Linked DNA regions of Mus musculus. The main gene of each other region encodes a partner of the protein of the gene in region 5 in a complex. Links are inferred from orthologs where the notes say so. Each region holds a gene or a part of one and is shown on either strand. Other genes may lie near its edges. The genes, in order: Sf3b2, Scnm1, Sf3b5, Snrpd1, Bud13, Ppil2 and Cwc22.

Region 1 (4,019 bases), on a different chromosome or scaffold from region 5:
CATCCACAAGCAGGGCACACATAGTGTGCTAACTCCTGGACTACAGAAAAGATGGAAGCACTAGAACCTATTTGGTTATCAGGTAGCCTCCAAGGCAAATTTGAATGAAGCATCTTGGTTTGGACATTAAATAATGTTAAATGGCATCCTCTGGATAGAGCAAGATGTCAAGTCAGAGAGAAAAACATCACCGTCTTCCAGTACCCCAAGAGTTCATGTTGCTTCAGTGAATCTCACACTAGCAGCAATAGGGCCCAGGCCAATCTGCCAAAATACTGGCTTCCTGGGAGTCTAACTATACCTACGTTCTAGTCTTCAACCAAGACCTTCCTAAAAGGCTTGGCCTCAGGGTCTAGCTTTCTCAGGCTCCATTTCCCCGTCAGGGACCTAATGTGTCCCAGGTACAGGTTTCCACCTGTCCTACCTGCTTGGCACGCTCCTCTTGCTGCATCAGCAAAGCTGCCTGCTGCTGTGCCAGCTTCAGCCGTTCTTCTTCTGACAGCGCCACAGGCTCACCCACTCGAAGAGGTGGTGGGGGCCCCAGATTTGGTGGGTGAGCCATAGGAAAGCCAAGGCCAAGGCCTGGTGGAGGTGGTGGAGGTGGTGGAGGAGGCTGTAGAGGGGGAAGTCCCATAGGTGGTGGTGGCATAGGAATCCCAGACAGCTATGGGGAAAAAAATACAGCTATGAATTAGAAAGCATTTATTCAATTTATAAGCATTTGCTAGAGACCTAGCAAAAGAGCCAGATACTAGAATTTGAAGTCTAATGACGTAGGATTCAAGAAAATACACCATAAAAGAATCAAAAGATGCTAACTTTAGCACACTGATCAAAGCTATTAGCTTCTCTGAAAAAATATGAGGAACATTCATATTACATTTTGCATTCAATTTAAGGAGGTACAAGGACACCTCTAAAATCCATACAGGAACTTCACAAAACACACATACACAAACACACCAATAAACTCCAGGTCAAAGCCACAACTTTAGAGGAAGAGAAACAAATACTAGAATCAGAAAGGACTTAAAGAAATAGGAACTAGGGCTGGATAGATGGCCAAGCAGTTAAGAGCTGCTCTTCTATAATATCAGGGCTCAATTCCCAGCACCCCGATGGAAGCTCACAGTTCTGTAACTCCAGCCCCAGAATGACCCAACGCCCTTCAATGGCCTCCTAAAACACTGCATGCACGTGACGCACAGGTAGAAACTTGGACAAAATACAAATTCAGACAAAACACTTATATACATAAAAATAAGTTAAAAAAAAAGTAATAACCAACATTCCAAGGCATAGGATATCTACGTTGTACTAGATGCAGGGAGTATATTATTCAAGTCAGGGCATTATCCTTTACCGTTTCAATAACTTTGGGAGCTATACCTGGCAGGAGAAAGCATGACCACTTCCAGCTGAGAAAGGATCAAGGAACATTTCCAGATATTCTAGTGGAATCTTGAGTGATAAGTCAAATTTGGAGGAGTAGACATTGGGGATTAAAACAGTAGCAGCACTAAATCAGAAGTGAAGAGGTCACAATTTTGTCTCCTTAGACCTCACCCTTAACTTACGGTCCCATCTGCTAGCTCAACACATGGCTATCCTGAGCAGAAAAGATCCTCGAAGCAATCTCTTACCTGTGCTGACATAGGAGGAGGAGCCGCTTTGTCCCCATCTTCTCCTCTCAAAACTGGTCGATTCAGGACAATGCCCGTCTACAAGAAAAAAGAGAGCTCTAGGTCAGACTACAAGGACGTATTCCATTACATAACCTCCTCTTCCATTTATTTACTTAACAAAATGTACCCAGTGCCCACTTGACAGAGACTGGGGCTGGAACCTGAGAAAAGCAACAGGAGTAGAAGTAATTACAATAAAGCAAAACCAAGAACTGACAAAATGGTCAAGAGCCGGCTTGCTGCGTTGAAGTACACAAAAAAGACCTAGCCCGGTGTGCTGGAGCACTCGGAAGGCAAACGCATTAGGATCTCTTAAGTTTGAGGCCAGCCAGGGCTACACTGAGAAACCCTATCGCGAAAGAACAAACAAAAAAAGTATATGAAACGAAGATCCAGCCGCGGAGTGGTGGCGCACGCCTTTAATCCCAGCATTTGGGAGAGGCAGGCGAATTTCTGAGTTCCAGGCCAGCCTGGTCTACAGAGTGAGTCCAGGACAGCCAGGGCTATACAGAGAAACCCTGTCTCAAAAAAAAAAAAAAAAACCAAAAAAAAAAAAAAAAAGAAAAGAAAAAGAAAAAAGAAAGAAGAGAAGAGAAGAGAAGAGAAGAGAAGAGAAGAGAAGAGAAACGAAGATCCATCCGTGAGTAGTCTTAAAGGCCTCCAGGAAAAGTGAGACCTAGCCTGCACTGACAACACTCACCTGACGGGTGTAGGTCTGCAGCCGCTCTACTAACTCCTCGCGACTCCCTATAGGACGAAGCACAGAATCAGGGGGTCAGCATCACCTCGAGCAGGCCAATTTGGCGAGGTCAGGTCCCACAGGCCTGTCTCCGCCCCCCGCCCCGTGGGTCTCCTGGGTAACCAAGCTCCACTTCGCCACAAGCCCACGCAGGGCCCCTCTCGACCGCCTCTGCGCCTCACCCTGGATCGGCGCTCCTATCTCTGCCAATCTGGCCTGAAGCTCCTGCGCAGCCCAGGCTCCATAGTGGCCTGGAGGTGGAGGCGGTGGCAACTGCAACTCTCCTTTGGGAGGTTCGGGATGCTCCGCCGCCATCTTAGCCACAAGAAGGCGCGAGACCAACACGGAAGCTCGGGTCAGCCGCCGGGCCTACTTCCAGAAACTTCCGGTTGCGTAATCCACGTCCCGCGGTGATTGGAGAGAACTTGGTCCAAACACACGCCCTTTCCCTTACCGGGGAATAGGAATCGCCGCCAACGGAGGTTGCAGAGCCTTCTGGGAGTTGTAGTTTGCGGATGCGCCATCTAGAGGACGAACGCTCGCTATGACATCCGGTATGCAGCAGTAGTAATACATCCGCTGCCTGGCTGCAAGAGCTTACTCTACCCAGAGCAGATGCATTCTTCTTCTCTCCTGGCCAAACACATACTAAGTCTTCTGTCCCGACACCCTTCAATGATGAGAGACCTGGGTGCTTATTTCTCCTAGGAGCTCATAGAGATTCCTTTCCGGCGCCCGAATGGGAGGTTGGTGCCGATGGCTCTGATAAAACAGTGTTTGTCTGCTCACTCCCGCCCAGGCGTGCTTGAATGGGCTGAAAGGGGATCGGAGCCGGTGGAGGAACGGACCGCCAAGCTGAGTTCCAGCTGCTGACCTGGGGGAAGGGCACTGCTAAAATAAAATCCCCTTTTGCACCTTCGAAAAAGTCTTAAATAAATGTATTCTCTGTCAAATGCTTCCTTCCCCCTTTCGAGGAATGTTCATTAATACATTTTCCACCTTTCAGGTGTTTTATTATATGTATATGTACCGCTTGCATGCCTGGTATCTGTAGAAGCCAGAAGTGTCAGATCTGGAACTGGAGTTACACTTTTGTGAATCGAACCCAGGTCCTCTGCAAAAGCAACAGTGCTCTTAACACCAATTCTCAAGCCCCAAGGTTTTTGTTGTTTAAGACAAATGTGTCCATATGTGGCCCAGGCTACCCTAGAACTTCTGATCCTTTGCAGGCTACAGATATATACTATCACACCCGATTTCATGGAGTGGAAGATCAAGAGTCATGTAGTTCAGACTGTCTTGGGACAAAATCGAGCCCAAGCCAACCTCTAGCTCTTGGCAATCCTCCTGCCTCTGCTTCTTGAAAACTGGGCTTACTGCTGCCAGCTAATCCATTGTCTTTGTTTCATTTTTAAGTCTTTCCTGTCCTTTATTCCCACCTCCATTCCCCCAAACAGGATCTGGAACTTGATCTTCTTCTATCTTGAAGTATTTAGCATCCAGGAGGCAGCTAATAAATGAGTTGGGAGGTGGGGGTATCTAACCTGGGGACTTTATATTCTTGTAGGAAAAACAAAAAAACCTCAGGACCTTTC
Region 2 (4,089 bases), on a different chromosome or scaffold from region 5:
CTGATCTGGATCTTGGCATGGAGATCTTGAGGCACAGTGGCTGTGAAAAGCTTAGGTCCAGGCAAGGTATAACATGCCTTTAATCCCAGGAGGCAAGGAGAACTCTGATTCAAAGTCAGCCTGGGACAAAGCAAGTCCCAGATCCAGGTGTGGTGTACACGCCTTAATGTAGGCCACACCTTCTGCTGGAGGCCTACATAAGACCACTGGAAGAAGGAAGACTCACTCTTCTTCCACTGCTTGCACTTACTTGCCAAGCACATCTTTAGAACCTATTTATACAAGACCAGCTGAAACAACCAGCCTTGTGGGACTGAGCAACTATTAGATTCTTAGACTTCTCATTCACAGCTGCCCATTGTTGTAACCCAACAACATGACTACAAACTGTAAGTCATTACAATAAATTACCTCAATATAGACAGATATTCCATAAGTTTTGTAACTTTCCATATTCCTTATGCTCTAATACATAGTTCTAAGAGTTTTTTGTTTGTTTGTTTGGTTGGTTGGTTGGTTTGGTTTGGTTTTTCGAGACAGGGTTTCTCTGTGTAGTCCTGGCTGTCCTGGAGCTCACTCTGTAGACCAGGCTGGCCTCAAACTCAGAAGTCTGCTTACCTCTGCCTCCCAAGTGCTGGGATTAAAGGCGTCGCCACCACTGCCCGGCTGGTTCTAAGTTTTTGTCTTAAGATTTTCCAAGGCCAGGCATGGAGTGCTCACCTTTAATCCCAACACTTGAGGGATAGAAGCAGGCAGATCTTTGTGAATATGAGGTCACCTTGGTCTAAATAGCAGGGTTTCAGGACAGCCAGGGCTACAAACAAACAAAAAGTACACCACCGTGCTCTACTAATGTTACAATTCTCTCTTTTTGAATGTATTTATTTATTGCACTTTTTAAAATATAGGAGTGCTCTGTCTGCATGTGTACCTACATGCCAGAAGAGATCCCTTTTGGATGGTTGTGAGCCACCATGTGGTTGCTAAGAATTGAACTCAGGACTTCTGGAAGAGCCCCCTGCGTTCCTAACCACTGAGGCATCTCACCAAGCCCTAATGTTCCTAATAAGTATGATTATTCTACAATTTTCCACTTGCTAAAAAATTTATTTTAAAATCATAAACCACCGGGCAGTGGTGGTGCACGCCTTTAATCCCAGCACTTGGGAGGCAGAGGTAAGCAGATTTCTGAGGCTAGCCTGGTCTACAGAGTGAGTTCCAGGACAGCCAGGGCTACACAGAGAAACCCTGTCTCAAAAAACAAACAAACAAAAAACCCAAAAAACAAAAAACCTGAAAAAATGATGGTTTACGATTTCTTTTATATATATGAGTACACTGTAGCTGTCTTCAGACACCCCAGAAGAGGGCGCCAGATCTCATTATGGATGGTTGTGAACCATCATGTGGTTGCTGGGAATTGAACTCAGGACCTCTGGAAGAGCAGTCAGTGCTCTTAACTGCTGAGCCATCTGTCCAGCCCCTACCATCATTTAAAAAAAATATTTCCACAAGATTATTATTTCTCAGAATACAATCTGGAGAGCAATAACTTTAAAGTCATCTATTTCCTTCTACCCTTTTCCACTCCTGGCTTTCCCATTCCACGGACCTGTGCTTCCTCCGGCAGCAACTGTTATAGTGGGGAGCTCTGTGTAGAGCATTCTGGGTGATGATTCGAGTCTGGGTTAGCAAAGGAGCCTGGTGATGAAGAGACAGAGTTAGAGCTGTTAGGAGCAAACGTTCCCTCAAGCCTGTTGTGTGAAGTATAGCCCTGTCTAAACCACACCTGATGCCCTCTCACCTCAGTTTTGCTTTCTGTCTTCAATTCGTTCTGCTGTCTTGGATTTTGCTCTGTTCCCTTGCCTGTTTGCTTTTTGCCATAGAAAAGCTTCAGACCTGAGAACAAAAGCAAGGAGGAATGAAAAGCACAATGCCTGGTGGCTTGCTCTCCATCTCCCGCCCTCCCCACTTCTCTGATACTTACTGGACAAATGCTTCTTGCCTGCACGGTGGGCTGTCAACATGGCCAGCGTGTCTAGTACTGGTCGATGGGGGCAGATGGCACAAGCAAAGCTAGGGAAACGAGAAGTGAATGATGTGTGTGGTGTGTGGTGTGTATGTTGTGTGTTCGAGAGCCTGCAGTCGGGGTGTTCTTGCTATGGTGAGTAGGTCCTACTTCTGTCAGAGTACTCCACCACCAACTCCCAGGTTTCCCGATCTCCACCCCTTACACTTCACTTCCAGCCAAAGAGTCCTATTATACTCCTGAACTCCTTAGTGACAAAAGTTTGTTGAGCCTTTGATCCCCGAATCCCCAGGCTTGATCCACTCTTCGCTCTCACCGTCCATCCCGCAGCATCAGTGCCTCGTCCTCAGGGATGTAACTAGCCAGCAGGTCCCCAACTCTCCGTTTCTGCAGGGAGCAGGATAGGAGAAATGAGTAAGAGGGACGGATGGAAATGAAATAGTATGGATAAGGAGTCAAATGGCACACGGGGCTATGCAGATCATAGGGTAGTAGGGGTCACCACTCAGTTCTGGTCCCCTAAGCCCTCCCCTAGATGTCGCCAGAGCAACAAAACAAAACAACAGGGCGGCTGAAGGTGATCAGACTCTCACTAAGGCTTACTTTGAGCACATTGAGTTGACTCCAGTCGTCCCCTTCCCTCTTAAAAGACATAGCGACTGTGAGACTACGATAAATTCCCCTACGCCTACTTCGCTGCTCCTTTAGGCCACCGTAGAAAGAGTACACTATCGCCTTCTCTGCTTCCGGTTTCTTTCTTGTTGAATCTGTACTTCCGGGGATGATGTTCCACGCTTGCGTCGCGCGAACCGGAAGACCCGCCTCCAGCGCCCTGAGGGGGCCTGCATTTCCTACAATACTTTGAGACGCTGTGCCTTTTGGGAAATGAAGTCTTTTGGTTATTTATTTTATTTTTTTATTTTTTTGAAGAGCACACTGCTCACCTGGACACAGGACCTCACATCTCGAAGGATCCAGGTGTTCGGAGACTCAAGATCCTGTATGTGGAGCCGGAATTTCAGGGTGGGACCTTCCTGATGTGGAGCGAGGCGTCAGGGATCTCAGTGGACTATATACTACAAACTCTTGCTGTCCTCAGGCTCGTACTCCTCAGCCACAACCTACCTGGGGTGGGCCTTATTTGGAACAGAGAGGATGTGGGAGCACCCGGCATCCCGACTGTTGGATGTGGGGATACACTGAGGGAAGAGTGTTGATGAGGGTGTCTAGGGTTCAAAGGTCAGAGATCAGGCTTGCGAGGAGTTGGGGAGGGGGCGTCGAAAGTCAACCGGGTCAGCGACTGACAGCTCAGGGAAGATACTTATGGGTAAGGAGCTCGTGGAAAGAGAAATGTAACCGGCCTGGCAGACTTCTTAAGAGACGGACAGTAACTCCAGGCACGGCAAGAAGCAGCAAGAGGAGGACGACGAATGTAGTCTCTCGAGAGTCGGGAGACTGTAGAGAGACGAGAGAAGAGAAAACGAATTATCTGAATATCCATTCCTTGGGTTCGGCCGTCACTGTTACTTAGCTGGGCTTCCCTCAGTTGTGACCCTAGGTCTTGACAGTGAGGAGATGGCTTCTCCCTCTAGACAGCCTCCCCTCGGGGGGTCAGGGCTGCTGCATGGGAGCCGTGCTCGTTCTTATGGAAGCCTGGTACAATCATCCTGCTCCCCAGTGAGGGAAAGACGCCTGGAGCATCAATTGGAGCCTGGAGACACCCTGGCTGGATTAGCACTCAAATACGGGGTAACGGTGAGTCTTCCAGAATTGAGATAGTCCCGAGAAAGTGGGTGGCCCGCTAAGATGCCCCCTCTCACATTATTTAAATTCTATTATGGTCTGTTTTTTTTCTTCCTTATTTTGCTTTCACATCTCAGCAGAGCACTGTTGGGACAGATCTGCCCAACTATCCCAGTGGGAGGAGCAACTCCTGTAGATGGTGAGGGAGGTGGGTGAGTGGGGGCGGGGCTTACAGCCATTAACTGGACTTGTGTCCCTATCAACTTAAGACTGATAAACCAGTTTGATCAAGGTCGAATCACTTAAGTGTCAGAGTA
Region 3 (2,519 bases), on a different chromosome or scaffold from region 5:
ATAGTATGGCTGGATGGCATATCCACAGGTATTGCCGTATAGTCTCTATATTTTAGGAATAAGATGTGTATTATGTTGTCTAAGTCTTGGTGTTGGTTGGTTTTATTTTTTTTTGAGACAGAGTTTCTCCTTGTAGCCCTGGCTGTCCTGAAACTAGCTCTGTAGACCAGGCTGCCCCTGAACTCAGAGATCTGCCTGCCTCTGCCTCCCAAGTGGTGGAATTAAAGGTGTGTGCCACCACCACCTGGCATGATGCTTATTATGACAAAATTTAAACAGAAGAATTAATATTGGATGGAGCGGAACTCACCTCTAATCCCAGCATTCAGGAGGCAAAGGCAGGAGGATTGCTGTGAGCTCAGGGCCAGATCCTCCCCCCACCAAGTAAACAAAAGTACCCCCAAACTCCTGTATTTTCAAATTGTCTGTCATTGTCCATTCTCTTTGGCTGTGACTGCTCTTACCCCATTCCTAAAATGGTTTTTTGAGAGTACAATCTACATCAGGCTATACATGTATCCTTAAGGGATACCATAAAAGAAGTACAATTATCTTTTCTGAGTTGTTTGTAACGTGAGAAAGTGCACAACCCCCAACGTAAGGCAGTAATCAGCAGAAAAACACAGGTGACTAGAAAGAGAGGTGTTCTTTCTATCTATCTATCTATCTATCTATCTATCTATCTATCTATCTATCTATCTATCTATCTATCTATCTATCTATCTATCTAGTCTTGAACCACATCTGACTTCAAGGAATAGCTTTTGAGTGACCTAGAGCAAACAACCCCTCAATGGGTTGAGAAACGGGAGCCTGGAGCTCGTTGTGGGAGCCATTAGTGAGACTACTGGGGCTGACACTGATCACCAAAAATACTTTTCCCAGTGCCCAAATTCTAAGAGACAAAGCTGGGACCGCGGGGGAACCATGCTGCCACGTTAGCTTCTAGGTACAAGAGTTAATTTTCCTGGTTGCTTGTAGTTGAAACCCTCTTGGATTTCCCCTTCTTAGTAGCCCAGAGCCGTGGGATAACTCTCAGAGGCCGTTTGCCATCGTCCTACAGCAGCCAGGCAAAAACAAAACAAACAAAACAAAACCCTAAAACAAACTCTTTGGACTACTTGTTCCAGAATGCAACGCTCAGACTAGAACGTGATCACCCGAGAGCCACTAAGCGGACCATCATGCAACACTCTTCGAAGTAGGCGGGCTCCGTGAGGAGACGGCCCAGTGTTTCCTAGGCAACTCCAATCCCGCGACAGACGGCACTTCCGCTTCCGCCTAGGAAAAGACTGTCTACTCCTGCGTCTCGGTGGCGTCTTTCTCCCGCGCCTGCACGAACTGAGGTTTTGCGTGGCGGCGGCGGCACCGGCAGCGGCAGCGTCTCTCACTTGAACGCCGCGAGCGGCAGCTTCTCGTCTGTGTCCTGACCTCGGAGCCTACGAGCAGAGCGGCGCGATGACGGACCGGTACACCATCCACAGCCAGCTGGAGCATCTGCAGTCCAAGTACATCGGCACGGGCCACGCCGACACCACCAAGTGGGAATGGCTGGTGAACCAGCACCGCGACTCCTACTGCTCCTACATGGGCCACTTCGACCTCCTCAACTACTTCGCCATTGCCGAGAACGAGAGCAAAGCCCGCGTGCGGTTCAACCTGATGGAGAAAATGCTGCAGCCCAGCGGGCCGCCCGCGGACAAGCCCGAGGAGAACTGAGGTGAGCGCTGCCCAGTCTTCCCCGTGTGCCGGCTGCGAGCCTCCTTGCTCCTGCATCTCGACCATTCCGTGTTGGCTGTGTCGCCTGACCTGCGTACCTGTGGAGGATTCGGAACAAGTCATGGAGAGACTGTCCGGGTCCGCTCCTTGTGAACTGTGCAGAAGGAGTGATCCCAGCATCGGCAAGCGAGGGAGAAGACTGCACGAGAGTGATGCGCATTTCGAGTCTGCTTTTCGATAGTTGATGTCTTCTTGCCTTTTTAAAAAACCATATATATATAAAGTTTAGGGTTTGCTCTATTCTTTGGTATGGATTGCTGTGTTCTTTGGGAGGTTATTAGGAGAGGGTTCTGTGGATCAAGGTTTTGTGAGAGTATAAATAGGAAATGGGGGCAGAAGCACAGGGCAAGTCCTTAAGTCGTCACACACACTTTTATGATATTATCCCACCTCAATAGTCTTCACGCGTACAGTGTGTCTGGTCCCAAAGAAACCTTGAAGCGCGGAGATTGCCCATATCCCTTTCCTACCCTTCCCTTTATGCGCTACCCCTTACCCCTTTTTCTTGATGATTACCCTTTGTGTCTTCAGAAATGATAAACTGGCAAACAAGTGGTATCACGTCCCCATCCTGCTCAGCGCCCCATTCCCCCCACCCCTCTTCCCTTTTCACCAGAGCATTTTCCAAAGGTTTGAGGGCATACATTATGCCAGCTTGAAGAGTTTACAACTTTAAAAACCATGCTTACAATGCTACTTTACTGAGATGTCATTTGAGAACAGATTTTAAGGAATCAAGA
Region 4 (4,131 bases), on a different chromosome or scaffold from region 5:
CTCTATTAATATTCAGGAATGTAACCCACCAGGAATTCTACATTATCACTCATGCTTTATTTTAGCCAAATGGCAATGGAATGATAATCTACAATATCATCTAATAACACTTCATATTCAGATTTTCCAGTCTACTTATTTTTCTACAATATCCATTGTGCACTCCTATAACATCCACTACAGTAAACTACACGAGTGATATTACCTATTCCATTCTCCCATGAGAAAGTAAGTAGCACGACTTTTCTATAGTAACACACACCAAGTACAGGCTGAACGTTTCAGCAACCTTAAACTACTACATTACAAACAGTATTTTGCCAGGCACGGTGGCAAAGACTTAATTCCAGCACTCAGAAAGGAGGAGGTGGGGAGAACAGGGTCCTTTTGTGAAGAAAATATTCTGCTGAAGAATTCCCTTATGAGCAAGGCAGTGGTCATGCCTTTAATCCCAGCACTTGGGAGGCAGAGGCAGGTGGATTTCTGAGTTGGAGGCCAGCCTGGTCTACAGAGTGAGTTCCAGGACAGCCAGGGCTACACAGAGAAACCCTGTCTCGAAAAACAAAACAAAACGAAACAAAAATTCCCTTATGCTATCTAGAGATGCTGGTTGGTGGCAGTGAAGGCCTCTAATCCCAGCACTCAGGAGGCAGAGGCAGGATGATTCTCAATCTAATGTCAGCTGAGATAGAGTGATTTCAAGTCAGGCAGCACAACTTGTGAGACCCTGTCTCAATATAAAAGTAAAAAGAGGCCAAGGAACACATAAATTCAAATTATTTTCCAGTGAGTCCTTCATTTTGTGAATTCTCTTCTTACTTTTGTTTTCTGTGTAGCCCTGGCTGTCCTAGAACTCCCGCTGTACAGCATGCTGGCCTTGAACGCAGAGAAAGTGTGAGGATTCAAGGCATGGGCCACCATCACCTAGCTGTGAATTCTTTTCTTAATGAGACTGGCACATCAAACAGTAAAGTGTATGGGGTCCTTTTAGTACCCAAATTTTTCCTATTTGAATAGAAAACCAAAGAGAACTGGATAGTGAGAAGTATCTCCAGTTAGAAAAATTAAGAAACCTGGCAACTTACCAGACGCCAGGAGGATTAAGAGAAAGGTAGCTAAGCACACTTCCTAAGTTTGGGCAAGGTGGCAACGGGATAAATACAGGCAATACAGTCCAATACAAAACTCATGCACAAATAAGAAAGCCCACACCAAAAGTGCAAACCAGTCAACCATTTTCACAGGGCAAAAAACATTCTCCCTTGGGGGCTGGCGAGATGGCTCAGCAAGGTAAGAACACTGACTGTTCTTCCAAAGGTCCTGAGTTCAAATCCCAGCAATCACATAGTGGCTCACAAAACCACCAGTAATGAGATCTGACACCCTCTGAAGTCAGCTACAGTGTACTTATTTATAATAATAAATCAATCTTTGGGCCAGAGCGAGAAGAGGTCCAAAATTCAATTCCCAACAACCACATGAAGGCCCCAACTGCTACATCTGTACTGCTACAGTGTACTCACATACATAAAATAAATACATCTTTAAAAAAAATTCTCCTGTAATTAGAAATCTCTATACTTTGCGCTATACAAAATAGGGTCCAAGACAAATCAAAGCAGCAGCAGCAGGAGAGTGAGCACCTGCCTAGGATGCTGGCAAAGTTATCATAATAGAACCTTTAAATGAGATGAACATGTTACTGTAAATACATTATAGTTCATATCAGGGAGTAAAGAAACGGCAAGTCTTAGCATTCTACCTAGGTTACAGTCCAAATACAAATGAACTGGGGCTGAGCTCAAGGTTAAGTGACTATTAGAAGCTCTCTGCGTGCCATCCCCAGAACAGGGGAAAATTTTTTTAACCTTAAATGCCTTCTCCCTCAAATTCCTCCTGAAGTAATTTTTTTTTTTCCAATTTCAAGCAGGCTATGAGTCACCGTTAAAAAAACTTCAAAAATGTTTTAAAAGAATTCTTGTGAATTATGTACAACTACTTCAGAAGGTGTTCAATGCCATTCTGGCCAACTACAACAGTCTTGACTCAACAAGAAACTAAATATTTCTAGTTATTTGCTTGATATTGTATAACCTGCCTCAGGCTTGACCCAAGCCTGTTCATTTGAATTAAACCAGCATGCCTCTAGTTAGGCTCCACTTCCGATATTAACTATGCAGGCGAAATTAATTTATTACCTTCTGCCCCATCCTAGGACATTTTGTCTTTCCTGAGTTAGAAGCCTACACTAACCACTTACATACTTCGTATAACTGGTCAAATTTAAGGAGATCTTAGTCTAAAACGTCTTGCAAATCGGCGTCATCATTTGCAGATAAAACCATGCTAGGTCTACTAAGTCCTCCTCAGTGCAAATGGTCCGATTCGCCAAGAAAACGGGCCACTGCTCCGTTTAAGCTGCCGGATACTGGGTGGGCAGAGGCGGCTCGGCCCCTCCATTCCTGGAAGACCGGCGGGGTCTGCGCGCTGGCCCCTCGCCCGGGCTCTGGGCGGCGGGCAGGGCGCGGCGGGGCCCGGGGGCCTGAGGCCGTTAGCAGGCCGCGCGCACGCGGCTTTCCCGCCTCCCTGGGAGCACAGCGGCCCGGCCTCCCGAGCCGACCCCAAATCCTCTACCCGTCGTCCTCGCCCGGCGGGGGTACCCTCCTCACCTCACGAGCTTCATCCTAGCGACGCAGTTCTCCCTTCTGGCCCGACTGTTCACAGAATTCAGGCTCCAGAGATCCACGGACTGGGGTTATGAATGGCCGGAAAAGCGCGCGGAGGCCTGCGGACGCGCGACGAGAACGCGGAAGCTGCGCTGCCTTCCGGCCACCGGGAGGGCGACAGCGGCCCCTAGCGACGGGAGGAGTGCTTTGCACCTTCGGAGGGCGGGAGGGCTGGTGGACGACATCTTCTGCAGGTTTTTTTAGACCAGTTACGAAGTTATTAAAACTACTTGTGAAGGCCTGGAACTTTCACATGTTAAAGGAAGAGAAGTTCTGAAAGAAGCCCACTAAGATTCGAGTTTAATACTTGGGATTCACATGTTGGAAGCAGGGAACTCGGTCCTGCAAGATGTCCTTACTTGGCTTGACATTAAGCTAAGCCAATCAAATCTTTGGACAGAATGGTTTTCCTTTGGGGATGCAGGGTACCTTCTTAAAACTAGAAAAACCACTCTCAGGACAGAGTTTTAAATAAATTTTATATATAGCAAGTCCTTCGACTTAAAAAAATGTATGTGGATATTTCAGTTAAAGTTAAAACAAAAAATTCAACACCTTATTTGCAATAACCACACTGTTAAATGTAGTTACTCAACATATACATTTGTCTCTAATTACAAACATAGTGCAAATAATTTTGAAAGAATTTGGATGATATTAGTTTATTATCATTTGATTCTATAATTTATTATTTATGGCTCTAGAGAGAATATCGTGTCTAAAAGCAAGGAAATACAACTGCTTTCTGCGCTCTCCAAAACTGCTTACATGGAACGTGATTTTGTCAACAAACACCCCTGTCCCCATGTATGGGAACTGGTCCCAAGGATCAATGAGACCAAAGAAAGAGGCAGGCAAGTCCAGAATTGCAGTGTGCAGCTTAAGGGTGACTTATAACAGAACAATGGGCCTGGACATTAAGAAAAGCAGAGGTCCTTGTAATGTGGGTTATAAAACAGGGGAAACGTTATTTCATAGCTAGGCATGGTGGTCCAAGTTTGGGCCACAAACTCTATCTCGAACCTTCCCTTCCCCCTAAAAAGAGATTTCAGCCAAATAAGATTATACCTTGTCTATTTTAAGCTAATCAGAGCCAGGTACATTCTTAGTCCAAGGTCTGGGCAGAAAGGTTCACACAACTCTCGAATGATTTTGTCTGTTTTATGCTGGAAAGCCAACCAGGGTGACTCAGGGGTAATTTTAATACTTTCTACTCAAAATAATTTTAGTAATGGCAAGATAAATCTACAGTTCTTGATTGATATTTATGAACAATTAAATACCTCCCTCCATTAAAATGTATGCTTTATAAGGATACATTGTGCATATCATTTGGTGCAATAATGCCAGTACTGATCACCTGGTGTTCCTTAACCCCAAATCCCCTTTCCACTTGGGGCCAGCT
Region 5 (3,500 bases):
GACAAGCCTGACAACCTGAATTCCATCCCCTGAACCCACATAGCGGAGGGAGAGAACTGACTCCTGCAGGTTGTCCTCTGGCCTCCATATGCATGCCATATCACATATATACACCATCACTGTCACACACACACACACACACTCTAAATGTCAAAGAACAACAGGTAAGGGGCTGGAGAGATGGCTCAGAGTATAGACTACTCTTCCAGAGGTCCTGAGTTCAATCCCCAGCAACTACATGGTGGCTCACAACCATCTGTAAAGAACAACAGGTAGGTAGGCCCGTGTTACAGCATGACTTCCGTTTTGAGTTTTTATTGTTCTCATCTAGAATGCGGATTGTTGATGATGATGTGGGCTGGGCGGCTATCTCTACTGCTAAGCCGGAAAAGGAGGAGGAAGAGGATGGAGATTTGCCTGTGGTATGTATCTCGTGGAGACTTTTGTCAGGACTTTGAAATGATCCAGGCTTCTCAGACTTGACACTGAGCAAGGGGAGAGGTGACCCTCAAGAGAGCTGTGTGGCACTGTTTCCTTCATGGTGCTTATACAGACAGACAGTCCCAACTTAATGTTTTTTTTTTTTTTTTGGTTTGGTTTGGTTTGGTTTGGTTTTTCGAGATAGGGTTTCTCTGTGTAGCCCTGGCTATCCTGAAACTCACTCTGTAGACCAGGCTGGCCTTGAATTCAGAAATCCACCTGCCTCTGCCTCCCAAGTGCTGGGATTAAAGGCGTGCGCCACCACACCCTGCTCCAACTTAATGTTTTGACTGTGCAGTGGTGTGGACATGATACATTTTCAGCAGAAAATGGTTTTGAATTTTTGATCTTCGGCTAGCACTGTTTGGTATGATAGTCTCATGATGGGCAGTAGAAGTCAGTCATGCGATCACAAGGAGAAGCAGGCAGTTCTCTGCCTGTAAGCTATGGCTCTGGGTTCTTGAGACAAGTGATCCTTGGCTGGGTCCTGTGGGTTTCCTCACTGTAGTGCCCCTACTCCTGCAGGTGGCTGAGTTTGTGGATGAGCGTCCAGAAGAGGTAAAGCAGATGGAGGCCTTCCGCTCCAGTGCCAAGTGGAAGCTTCTGGGAGGTGAGTGTCAGCAGCAACACAACTGCACATCTCATTTCCAGGATGGGTTCCTTCTGCTTCCCTGCCTTAGGGGAATGCCTGGTTTGTTTTATGTCAGTGATGATGAAAAACATGATGGGACAAAGATGTCAGGACTTTAGAAGAAGGGCATGGAACATTAGAGGCTGACTTGTCAGAGCCTGGAGACCAGCCTTTCCACGGTTCTAGAATGAAACAGCTCCTGTGGTCAGAGCCAGAGTTTTGTCTTTCACTTTGTGACTATTTCTCTGTTCTCCTGACTTTCCATAAACAAGGCTCTCCCATCTTCTCCTCCATCCCCTGTGTCTTCCTTTCCTTCCTTTCTTTTTTTTAAACCTTTGAGACGGTCTCAGTCTATAGTCTAGGTCACTGTGATTCAATCTTACTTCTTGAGATCTATTTAACTATAGAATATTCCTGGTGCTTGCTCTTTTCTTATACATAGGTGACAAAAGAATTGTCTCCTAAGTGGGGTTTGTTACCCTCTGTGCCATTAGGCCAGAGCACATTGTGGGACTCTTACTGTTTGCTCTTGTGTTTAGGCCACGGTGAAGATGGACATTTTCATCACGATGACCAAGATTCATCTCCTCCTAGGAGGGTCCGTCATGACACCCCAGACACATCTCCTCCCAGAAAGGCCCGTCATGACACCCCAGACCCATCTCCTCCCAGGAAGGCCCGTCATGACACCCCAGACACATCTCCTCCCAGAAAGGCCCGTCATGACACCCCAGACCCATCTCCTCCCAGGAAGGCCCGTCATGACACCCCAGACCCATCTCCTCCCAGGAGAGTTCGTCATGACACCCCGGATCTATCTCCCCCAAGGAGAGTTCGTCATGACACCCCGGATCTATCTCCTCCCAGGAGAGTCCGCCATGACACCCCGGATCCATCTCCTCCCAGGAGAGTCCGCCATGACTTAGATGCTTCTCCCCCCAGGAAGTCTCATCGTAATTCTTCAGCCGTATCTCCTAGGAGAGGCCATCATGGTTCCTTAGGTACCTCTTCTCCGAGACAGACCCATAACCACTCCCCTACTGCAGCCCAGCATAGAAGGACTCTTGACTCTTCAGGTACACAGCATCTCAGGAGGGCCCATCATGAGTCCCCTGATTTGGAACTGCACAAAGCCAAAAGTAGTAAAGCTGCAGAAAGAGCCCCTAGCAAGGCTGCATCCCAGAGTGGGCTAGGACCCTCTCACCCATCACTCTCCACCAACAGCAAGTACGAGCACGACTCTGACCTCTCTCCTCCACGGAAACGGCAAGCAAAGGCTCATTTTGAAGCTAAGAAACAGCTTGATTCTAAAGGTGAGCATAAGGCTATGCATAAGAGGACCTTCCTCCTGGGGAGTGTAAGAATGAGTTTCTTTTGGAAAGTTTTGAAAAAAGAGAGACTAGACTTAGGGGAGTTGAAAAATAAAAGGGTGGGGGGAAAGTTTCATGTCCTTTTGCTCACTCACCCTCCCCATAAAAAGGCAAAGATGGGGTGGGCTCAGAGGCTCAGAGGGTAAAGCATTGTCTTCACCACTGCAGTAAAAGGAGAAAACCGACCCCTGAAAGTTGTCCTCTGACCTCCGCATGTGTATGTCTGCGATCATGTACACACATGCACACATACAGTAATAATAAATACACTGACGTACAGGAATGTATAGACACAGCAGTGTCACAAAATTGTATCATTTAGACAACGTCATTGCTAGTGTTGTAGCCGGTGTCCTTAGGTGGTTTGGGCACGCATGTTGGGCGTAGTTGGGCCTGAGTGTACAGAGCATACTTGTTGCCTGTGGATTCTTGCCTGCTCGCTCCACTTACCAGTCTTCCCTGAGTTTGCCCTGAGGATATTTGACAATCATCATGTACATACACTGATAGCACAACTGGGATTGCTGCTTTTTTCTTTTTCTTTTTTTTTTAAGAGTTATTTATTTATTTAAATATATTAGTGCACTATTGCCCTCTTCAGACACACCAGAAGAGGGCATCAGATCCCATTACAGATGATTGTGAGCCACCATGTGGTTGCTGGGAATTGAACTCAGGAGCTCTGGAAGAGCAGTCAGTGCTCTTAACTGCTGAGCTGTCTCTCTAGCCCTGTATTATTTCTTTTTTTTTTTTTTTAAAAGATTTATTTATTATATGTAAGTACACTGTAGCTGTCTTCAGACATTCCAGAAGAGGGAGTCACTTGTTACAGATGGTTGTGAGCCACCATGTGGTTGCTGGGATTTGAACTCCGGACCTTCGGAAGAGCAGTCGGGTGCTCTTACCCACTGAGCCATCTCACCAGCCCCCTGTATTATTTCTTATCTTAGATCTCCTGGGGATTTAACTGATAGGTTCCTAGAAAACTATGGAGTTATTTACTAGGTCAGAATGTGTGG
Region 6 (3,500 bases), on a different chromosome or scaffold from region 5:
CCTCCGTCTCTTTTTTTCCTCCTCTGTCCCGTCCTCCCTGTCTCCCTCCAGCCTCCCTTCTTCCCTCTCTCCTCTCCTGTGGTACTTGTTGGATGTAGAACTTAGCACATGCTAGGCAAATACCCTGCTGCCACTCCCTTTTAGAATTCCACTTTGAGACAATGTCGTGGTAGATTGTCCAGCTAGCCTTGTACTCTGTTCTTCTGCCTTAGTTTCCTGGGTAGCTACAGTTAAAATATGTACTATCATGATTGTTTAATCAAAGCCCTTGAGGGCCACTAGTCCTGTGTGTGCTTTCTCTCTAGGGCAGTACCACTGTCCAGTGCTGTATTCCGTGTTCACTGACAACACCCATATTGTGGCCATCAGGACAACTGGCAATGTCTACACCTATGAGGTAGACCCCCATTGCAATGAGTGGGACTATCTAATGTTGGGCCCGAACGTGTGCCTGGCTGAGTGTTGAGGTTGAACCAGGAACAGTGAGCATGCCTGTCCTCATACCTTTCGTAGCCTCTAGCACAAGACATTATCTCTAAAATAAAGGTCAGGTGACTCTAGTGGCCTTTGGACCTCAAACCCAGGCTGGCAGTTTGGGCTGCCTAAGCAAGGATTCCTTGTAGCCTGGAAAGTATTACCCTCTCTTCAGCATGGACCAGACTCTGGAACAAACATGGGAGTAAAGGGAGATAAAAAGAGGCCAGGTTCTTAGGACAGGGGCCAGGTTGGCAGGAGGGACATGAGCTGTCTCCATTCCTGGCTCAGTCTAGGATGAGGACAGGCATGATACAGGAGGGCCCATGTTGGAACTCTTGCCAGAAGCGGCCAGGTTGGTTTGGCTAGTCTCTGCCAGACAGGTGAGAACTCTTGAGACTACCCCAGAGTGGCCCTGTGTGCTTGTTTACCTCATACCTCTGTGCCGGCCCAGAGGAACTGTGATATCTCTGTACTGCTCTAGGCAGTGGAGCAGCTAAACATCAAGGCCAAGAACTTGCGGGATCTGTTGACTGATGAGCCCTTTTCCAGGCAAGACATCATCACCCTGCAGGTAAAGAGCTTCACAGGAAGTGCCTTGCCTTGACCCTCCGCTCTGCCCTCTGCTCTGCACTCTGCCCCCCAGCTTTCTTCACCAGGCTTGGTGGTCACCTGTACCATAACACCCCTGCCTGCTGCTACCCAACTATTGCTTAGTGCCACCCCCTCCCCCTACAGCCACCATGGACCATGACTGCCTCTGGCTCTCATGGCTCCTGTATGAGGGCTACACTTGCCTCATAACTCTCTTAGGTGTTAGGACACTTAGGCTGCTTTTCAGGTCCCATCCCTACTCTCAGAACAGCAGCTACACAGTTGTCCCCGTGGTGGTGTGTGAATGGCCTCGAGGGAGCACAGGCTAGGATAGGGTTAAACGACTCTGTGGTTGTTACTGAAGCTTGGTCCAATGGCTTCCCAGTCCACATCCTGTGCTACCTGGCAGCAAGCCTCATTCCTTATTTTTGAGGCCTAAGGCAGGGCACACTGCTTGATGAACAGGTAGGCAGTCTGTGCCATCTTGCTTGTCACTGGGTTGGGGCACAGCCTTGGCCTCCTTCCAGCCTTCAACATCTGGCACAGGTGGGTGAAGTGCTTGACACAGTCCATTGTACTTCTGAGTGTTCTCTTCTTTTCACAGGACCCCACCAATTTGGACAAATTCAATGTTAGCAACTTCTTCCATGTGAAGAATAACATGAGAATAATAGACCCAGGTATGGACACCTAAAGGCTACTGTGAGTGACTACATGTTCTCGGGCAAGTCCTTCCTTCTGGGGGGCCCAGACACTATGCTTCTGAGTGGCTTTTGACTATCATGACATTTGCTGTATAGATGAGGCTGTCCTTAAATGTGCAGCATCCTCCTGTGTTTCCCTTCTAAGTGCTGGCATTACAAGCGTACACAACCATGTCTGTCAGACGGTTAGAGAAGCAGCTGAAACACAGACACCTACCTTTCCCTAGCTCTGGTGGGACTGTGCTTTCTGGATTGCCGTTGGCCACTGTTCTTTCCAGGGTACAGTGACAGGGCTGCAGGTGAGACTGGGTGACATGAGACTTGTCTAGGGCCCTGACCTTCCTGCTTCCTGTGCTTGGTCCACACCATTGACCACACTGTAACATACTGTAATGTACTATAACATACTATGCAGTGGCTCAAGTTTCTGAGCTCACTTGTGCCATGCCAAGGAGCCAGCTACACACAACTCAGGGATAACTGCGCTCAGGAGACCCAGAGGCCAGGCCTAGGGAAGCTCACTGCCCAGTAAGTTACAGCCTTTGGCCTAGCAGGCAACATGTGGCCTTCCTTCCCTTGAAATAAACACGTTTAAATTCACAAAAGCAAAACATCATTGTGAAAAGGCTGCAGTAGAGGTAATACAGGAAACAGGGTGACTCCCACATCCCTTCAGGCCTGGGGCCACTCACCATGACAGCGTCTTCTGTGTGCTCCACCAACCCCCTTGTTGCACCTACTAGAGCTCCTGCCAGATGATCAAGGGCAGTAAGTCATGGCTGTGCTAAGACCAGCGAACCCTGCCCTAATCAACTCACCTGTGGCTTCTTCTCATGTGGCCTTCCCCATCTCTATTCCTATTAGCTCATCTTGAGGCTCTTTGGGGCCTTGGTTTTCTGGGGCCTTGGCTGCTCCGTTCCAATATACTGTTTTATAGATGAGGAAAAGGCCAAACAAGACCCATCTTATTATTTGAAAAACACAAATTCGGAGACGAGAGAGACGCTACAGGAGCTCTACAAAGAGTTCAAAGGAGATGAGATTTTAGCAGCTACCATGAGGCCACCTGAGAAGAAGAAGGTGGACCAACTGAATGCGGTGAGTGGGGCACTCTGCCTGACCGAGAAAGATCCCAGGGGAGGTGCTCACGGGGCCTAGATGCATTTGCTGGCATGGTGGCAGGGACCTTCCCAGTGCTGTTGGGCCCTCCAGGGCTGCTGGGGTGACTGGGCCCCAAACAGATCAGGAGGGAATAGCACACTCTTGGGGTGGAGGAATGGTTGACAAGCTGGGGTCCCATGGCAACAGTGGCTCAGCAGAAATAGGGCTGCCTTATGCTACTGGCCCTGACACAGGCTTCAGTGACCAATGTTCCCGCTTTCTTTGGTGTTCCAAAGGCAGCTTTTACATTTCAGGACAGAGATAGGAGGGTGTGCAGATCTGTGATGGCAGGGAGGGCTAGGGTTGCTATAGCTACTAAGGTCTCAGCCCTTACCTGGGCCCTACCGGGGACGAGCATGCTTCTCTGCCCTATGCCGTAGCTACAGCTGTGGTGCTGGAATTTCTTTAGCACATTTAGCCGATAGGTGCTGTCTTTCTCCCAAGTAGACTGAAGTCTGGAGAGCCTGAGCCATGGGGAAGGCAGAGGTGGAGTCTCCCACATAGGGATTTTCTAGGAAAATGTGGAAAACCAAAGTTCATCTATAATTTCCCAAGCTGAACACAGCT
Region 7 (3,500 bases), on a different chromosome or scaffold from region 5:
AGGCTGCCACTGGCAGCAGCCCTTGTCAGTATCTGGACTGACCTAGTCAGTGGCTCTAAGCACCGATCCCCAGCAGTTGCCTGCCTCGGTTTACCCGCCCCATGGATGCCAAAGCTAGTACTTGGCATTCTGGCACCCTGACTCACTCATCTACTGCTTTACTGCTCACGAAATTCAAATGAGATCTGTTACCAGTACTGTGTCGTGTGCATTTCCATAGTTTCATAATTACATTGTTTGTATGAGAGGCTAACTGAGGAAAGTTAGGCAAAGGATATATGTGGATTGTGATTTCCCTGTAAGTGTGAAGTTAGTTAAAGATAAAATATTATAAAACTAAACACATGAACTTGTTAAGAAAACAAGAACCAAACTCCCTCAAGTTTAGGGAAGGTAGAAAGAAATGCAGAGAAGTAAGATGGGCTGTAGCCACCTCCTCCCGGGAGCATCTGCTGACCCAGGGTTGCTGCTGAGGGAAAAAAAGCCAAAAGAAAACAGAGCTCTAGTAGCCTCACAGACACAAATGTGAGCTACTTAACTTCAAATATATACATCCAACACAGACACACACGTGAGCGCACGCACGCACACACACACACACACACACACACACACACACACACACACACACACACACGCACACACACACACACACAGAGAGAGAGAGAGAGAGAGAGAGAGAGAGAGAGAGAGAGAGAGAGAGAGAGGGAGGAGAATACAGTACAGCTAAACCCTAAAACATAAGAAGTTAACTCAAAAAGGCGGGAAAAGCCAGATTTGAACAAAAGAGAAAACATCCAAATGGCCAATAACAATGTTATGCTCAGTTTTATTAGTGATGGAGAAAATGCAAATTAAAATGAAAGCTGTAAGGCAGTATCATCAACAGGATGGTTAAAAATCATACAGTAGTGACTCTATAGCTACATAACTAAAAAGAAATGGACAATGGACACATGGGCATTCCTCAAGTTAAGATGAGATTATGTCTTGAAGATGACATGTCATAAAAATGTTTTTAATAGGGCTGGAGAGATGGCTCAGCGGTTAAGAGCACTGACTATTCTTCCAGAGGTCCTGAGTTCAATTCCCAGCAACCACATGGTGGCTCACAACCATTTGTAATGGGATCTGATGCCCTCCTCTGGTGTGTCTGAAAAGAGCAATAATGTACTCATATACATAAAATAAATAAATCAATAAAAAATGTTTTTTATACCCCCAACCCCCAAAAAACACAATTTAGTACAGCCTTCCTTAAGCATGCCCACAATACCTGTTAGTCTTTAGGTAGAAATCACACAAGAGTTACTCACACATAGGAGCTCAGGAAGAGAGAAAAATTCAGACTTCTAAGTACTATTTCTGTTGACTCTACTATACAGCTTTTGTATCATTGTAAAGTTGAAAAACCAAGAATACAAGCTAATGATATATATACACATATGTATATATGAGTATATATACATACATACATATATTATATGCACACGTATATGTATAAATATGTGCACACACACATACATACACACACACACAAAACAAAAATGCAGTTCAAGGCTAGCCTGGACTGTGTAGTGAGGAAGATACTATATATGTAAATTCATTAAAAGATGCACATAGGACATCAGACATGAATATGTACAGCAACTAATGTAGGTGGATCAATATAAATGTAAGACTATTTTGTGAACATAACAATGAAGGAAACATTAGATACAAAGAAGTTCATAATTAATAATTATAAAATTAAAACATGCATGAAGTATAAGTCTCTAAACCCAGCACTTGAGAAGTAGGGGCAGAGAGGATCAGGTTCAAGGCTAGCCCCTGCCAGACAGTAAATGAACAGAAAATCTAGAATGCATATAAAACTCCAAAAAACAAATGAAACAAGACATCCAACAACAAACAAGCCAGGCAAACATTGGGCAAGATGACGCTTATAGCAGGACTGCTGAAAACCCAGCACTCGGAAGGCTGGGGCTCACAGAGACTGCAGTTCAAGATCAAACTGGGCTGCACAGTGAGGAGAAGACTAGCTTTAATTATGTTGTAAGACCTTGTGTCAGCAAAACAAGAGGCAAGACTAAGTGATGGACTTACAAATCAGAATCTGGGGAAAGCTAGGTACGGCAAAGCCCCCAGTGAGCCGTCCAATGAGTACAATGATGTCAAGTAGCCACATAAAGCTTGACTACAACTAAAACCCACATGCCTTGTAATAAAGCCTCAGGAGGGCCCTGTAAACACATGGACATCCCTGGAATCGCAGCTGCCAATGAATTAGCCCTGTCTAAGAGGCTTCTGAAACAGATATAACACTGCAGACTGTCAGTGACACATGACCATCTCCAATAATAAATGTTTTAAATAGATGGCAAAAATAAGTAAGCAGCAATCGAGCCCTGCAATTGTTAGAAATGAGCAGGGTAATACCTGAATGAGCCGTGATACCTGAGGTAGAGCTCTGAGTGCTGGAGGAGGAGGAGGAGTCGCTCGCATCACTAGAGGACTCTGAGCTGCTCTCGCTGCTGTCAGATTCTGAGTCAGAGGAATCAGACGCCGAGGAAGACTCTGAAGATGAAGATGTCAGGGCTGGTTTCTTTTGTTCAGCTTCTGGTTTCTGGGCTACGATGACCTTGGGCGTATTTTTCAGATGTTCTCGCAGTTCATCCCTAACACAGATGTAATGTGTTACACTATGTATACCAGGCACTTGACATAATGTTGTAACTAAAGATAAAATTCTGCAAATGATCCTTACGTCAATCCTCCGAGACCTATGGAAGTGAAGAAGTTGATGGCAAACCGGGTATTGCGTGGGTTGTCTCTGGGTAACAGACCTTCAAAGAATGGCTGGAGAGTTCTGAAACGGAAAAAGGAATGAAGGAAATGGAGAAAGTGCAAATGAAAGCGCCTATAGCCACCTATCAGAATTTCTACCTGTTAAATCAGTAAGTGAAATATAAGAAAGTGGTTTATGCATTTATACATAAGGCTCCCTAAATATAATAGGTAATGAGGAACAAGTCACTGAAGTTCGTCTCTTTAAAAAAAATGCCTTTGCAGTGTGTGTGTGTGTGTGTGTGTGTGCGTGTGTGCGTGTGTGTGTGTGCGTGTGTGTGCGCGCGTGTGTGTGCGTGTGTGCGTGTGTGCGTGTGTGTGTGTGTGTGTGTGTGTGTGTGCGCGCGCGCAGGTAAGAGGACATGTGGGAGGTGGTTCTTCCCTTCCACCTGTGGCTGTCAGGGACTCAGCTTATTTCAGACTTGGTGTCCTTTAATCACGGAGACATCTCACTGGCCCTTAAAGTTGATTTCTGTAATTACACAACAGATTTGGAAACTTTTTACACACTAAGATAGAGATGGCAAATAACATATGTACATGGTTATATGCACACAAGTATGTAGTGTGGGCATGCACAGAAAAATGTAAAGGCCTTCCATAGCTTTTCTTTTTATGTACATATGTATGCACATCTAAACTGTGTAGAAGCA

Evidence for each region.
Region 1: Bud13 (region 5) and Sf3b2 share a complex: the UniProt entries of both Homo sapiens proteins name them as parts of the minor spliceosome. The link is inferred for Mus musculus from reciprocal best matches to the Homo sapiens genes BUD13 and SF3B2.
Region 2: Bud13 (region 5) and Scnm1 share a complex: the UniProt entries of both Homo sapiens proteins name them as parts of the minor spliceosome. The link is inferred for Mus musculus from reciprocal best matches to the Homo sapiens genes BUD13 and SCNM1.
Region 3: Bud13 (region 5) and Sf3b5 share a complex: the UniProt entries of both Homo sapiens proteins name them as parts of the minor spliceosome. The link is inferred for Mus musculus from reciprocal best matches to the Homo sapiens genes BUD13 and SF3B5.
Region 4: Bud13 (region 5) and Snrpd1 share a complex: the UniProt entries of both Homo sapiens proteins name them as parts of the minor spliceosome. The link is inferred for Mus musculus from reciprocal best matches to the Homo sapiens genes BUD13 and SNRPD1.
Region 6: Bud13 (region 5) and Ppil2 share a complex: the UniProt entries of both Homo sapiens proteins name them as parts of the minor spliceosome. The link is inferred for Mus musculus from reciprocal best matches to the Homo sapiens genes BUD13 and PPIL2.
Region 7: Bud13 (region 5) and Cwc22 share a complex: the UniProt entries of both Homo sapiens proteins name them as parts of the minor spliceosome. The link is inferred for Mus musculus from reciprocal best matches to the Homo sapiens genes BUD13 and CWC22.

What each region holds. Positions count from the first base shown.
Region 1 is NC_000085.6:5,292,656-5,296,674, forward strand, and holds the start of Sf3b2 (splicing factor 3B subunit 2), read right to left. Parts: upstream 2,801-4,019; 5' UTR 2,740-2,800; coding exon 2,607-2,739; intron 2,433-2,606; coding exon 2,386-2,432; intron 1,722-2,385; coding exon 1,644-1,721; intron 665-1,643; coding exon 425-664; intron 1-424. UniProt on the Homo sapiens protein: Component of the 17S U2 SnRNP complex of the spliceosome, a large ribonucleoprotein complex that removes introns from transcribed pre-mRNAs.
Region 2 is NC_000069.6:95,131,213-95,135,301, forward strand, and holds the start of Scnm1 (sodium channel modifier 1), read right to left. Parts: upstream 2,801-4,089; 5' UTR 2,684-2,800; coding exon 2,633-2,683; intron 2,417-2,632; coding exon 2,346-2,416; intron 2,077-2,345; coding exon 1,988-2,076; intron 1,900-1,987; coding exon 1,805-1,899; intron 1,702-1,804; coding exon 1,613-1,701; intron 815-1,612; coding exon of another isoform or gene 775-814; exon of another isoform or gene 594-774; intron 1-593. Other genes in the region: Lysmd1 (lysM and putative peptidoglycan-binding domain-containing protein 1), read left to right, coding at 3,605-3,784. UniProt on the Homo sapiens protein: As a component of the minor spliceosome, involved in the splicing of U12-type introns in pre-mRNAs. Plays a role in the regulation of primary cilia length and Hedgehog signaling.
Region 3 is NC_000076.6:13,007,165-13,009,683, forward strand, and holds Sf3b5 (splicing factor 3B subunit 5), read left to right. Parts: upstream 1-1,285; 5' UTR 1,286-1,458; coding exon 1,459-1,719; 3' UTR 1,720-2,019; downstream 2,020-2,519. UniProt on the Homo sapiens protein: Component of the 17S U2 SnRNP complex of the spliceosome, a large ribonucleoprotein complex that removes introns from transcribed pre-mRNAs.
Region 4 is NC_000084.6:10,616,465-10,620,595, reverse strand, and holds the start of Snrpd1 (small nuclear ribonucleoprotein Sm D1), read right to left. Parts: upstream 2,801-4,131; 5' UTR 2,684-2,800; coding exon 2,670-2,683; intron 1-2,669. UniProt on the Homo sapiens protein: Plays a role in pre-mRNA splicing as a core component of the spliceosomal U1, U2, U4 and U5 small nuclear ribonucleoproteins (snRNPs), the building blocks of the spliceosome.
Region 5 is NC_000075.6:46,286,012-46,289,511, forward strand, and holds part of Bud13 (BUD13 homolog), read left to right. Parts: intron 1-331; coding exon 332-422; intron 423-1,005; coding exon 1,006-1,090; intron 1,091-1,650; coding exon 1,651-2,424; intron 2,425-3,500. UniProt on the Homo sapiens protein: Involved in pre-mRNA splicing as component of the activated spliceosome. As a component of the minor spliceosome, involved in the splicing of U12-type introns in pre-mRNAs.
Region 6 is NC_000082.6:17,094,253-17,097,752, reverse strand, and holds part of Ppil2 (RING-type E3 ubiquitin-protein ligase PPIL2), read left to right. Parts: intron 1-305; coding exon 306-397; intron 398-958; coding exon 959-1,048; intron 1,049-1,672; coding exon 1,673-1,748; intron 1,749-2,709; coding exon 2,710-2,870; intron 2,871-3,500. UniProt on the Homo sapiens protein: Has a ubiquitin-protein ligase activity acting as an E3 ubiquitin protein ligase or as an ubiquitin-ubiquitin ligase promoting elongation of ubiquitin chains on substrates.
Region 7 is NC_000068.7:77,901,357-77,904,856, forward strand, and holds part of Cwc22 (pre-mRNA-splicing factor CWC22 homolog), read right to left. Parts: intron 2,870-3,500; coding exon 2,768-2,869; intron 2,679-2,767; coding exon 2,440-2,678; intron 1-2,439. UniProt on the Homo sapiens protein: Required for pre-mRNA splicing as component of the spliceosome. As a component of the minor spliceosome, involved in the splicing of U12-type introns in pre-mRNAs. Promotes exon-junction complex (EJC) assembly.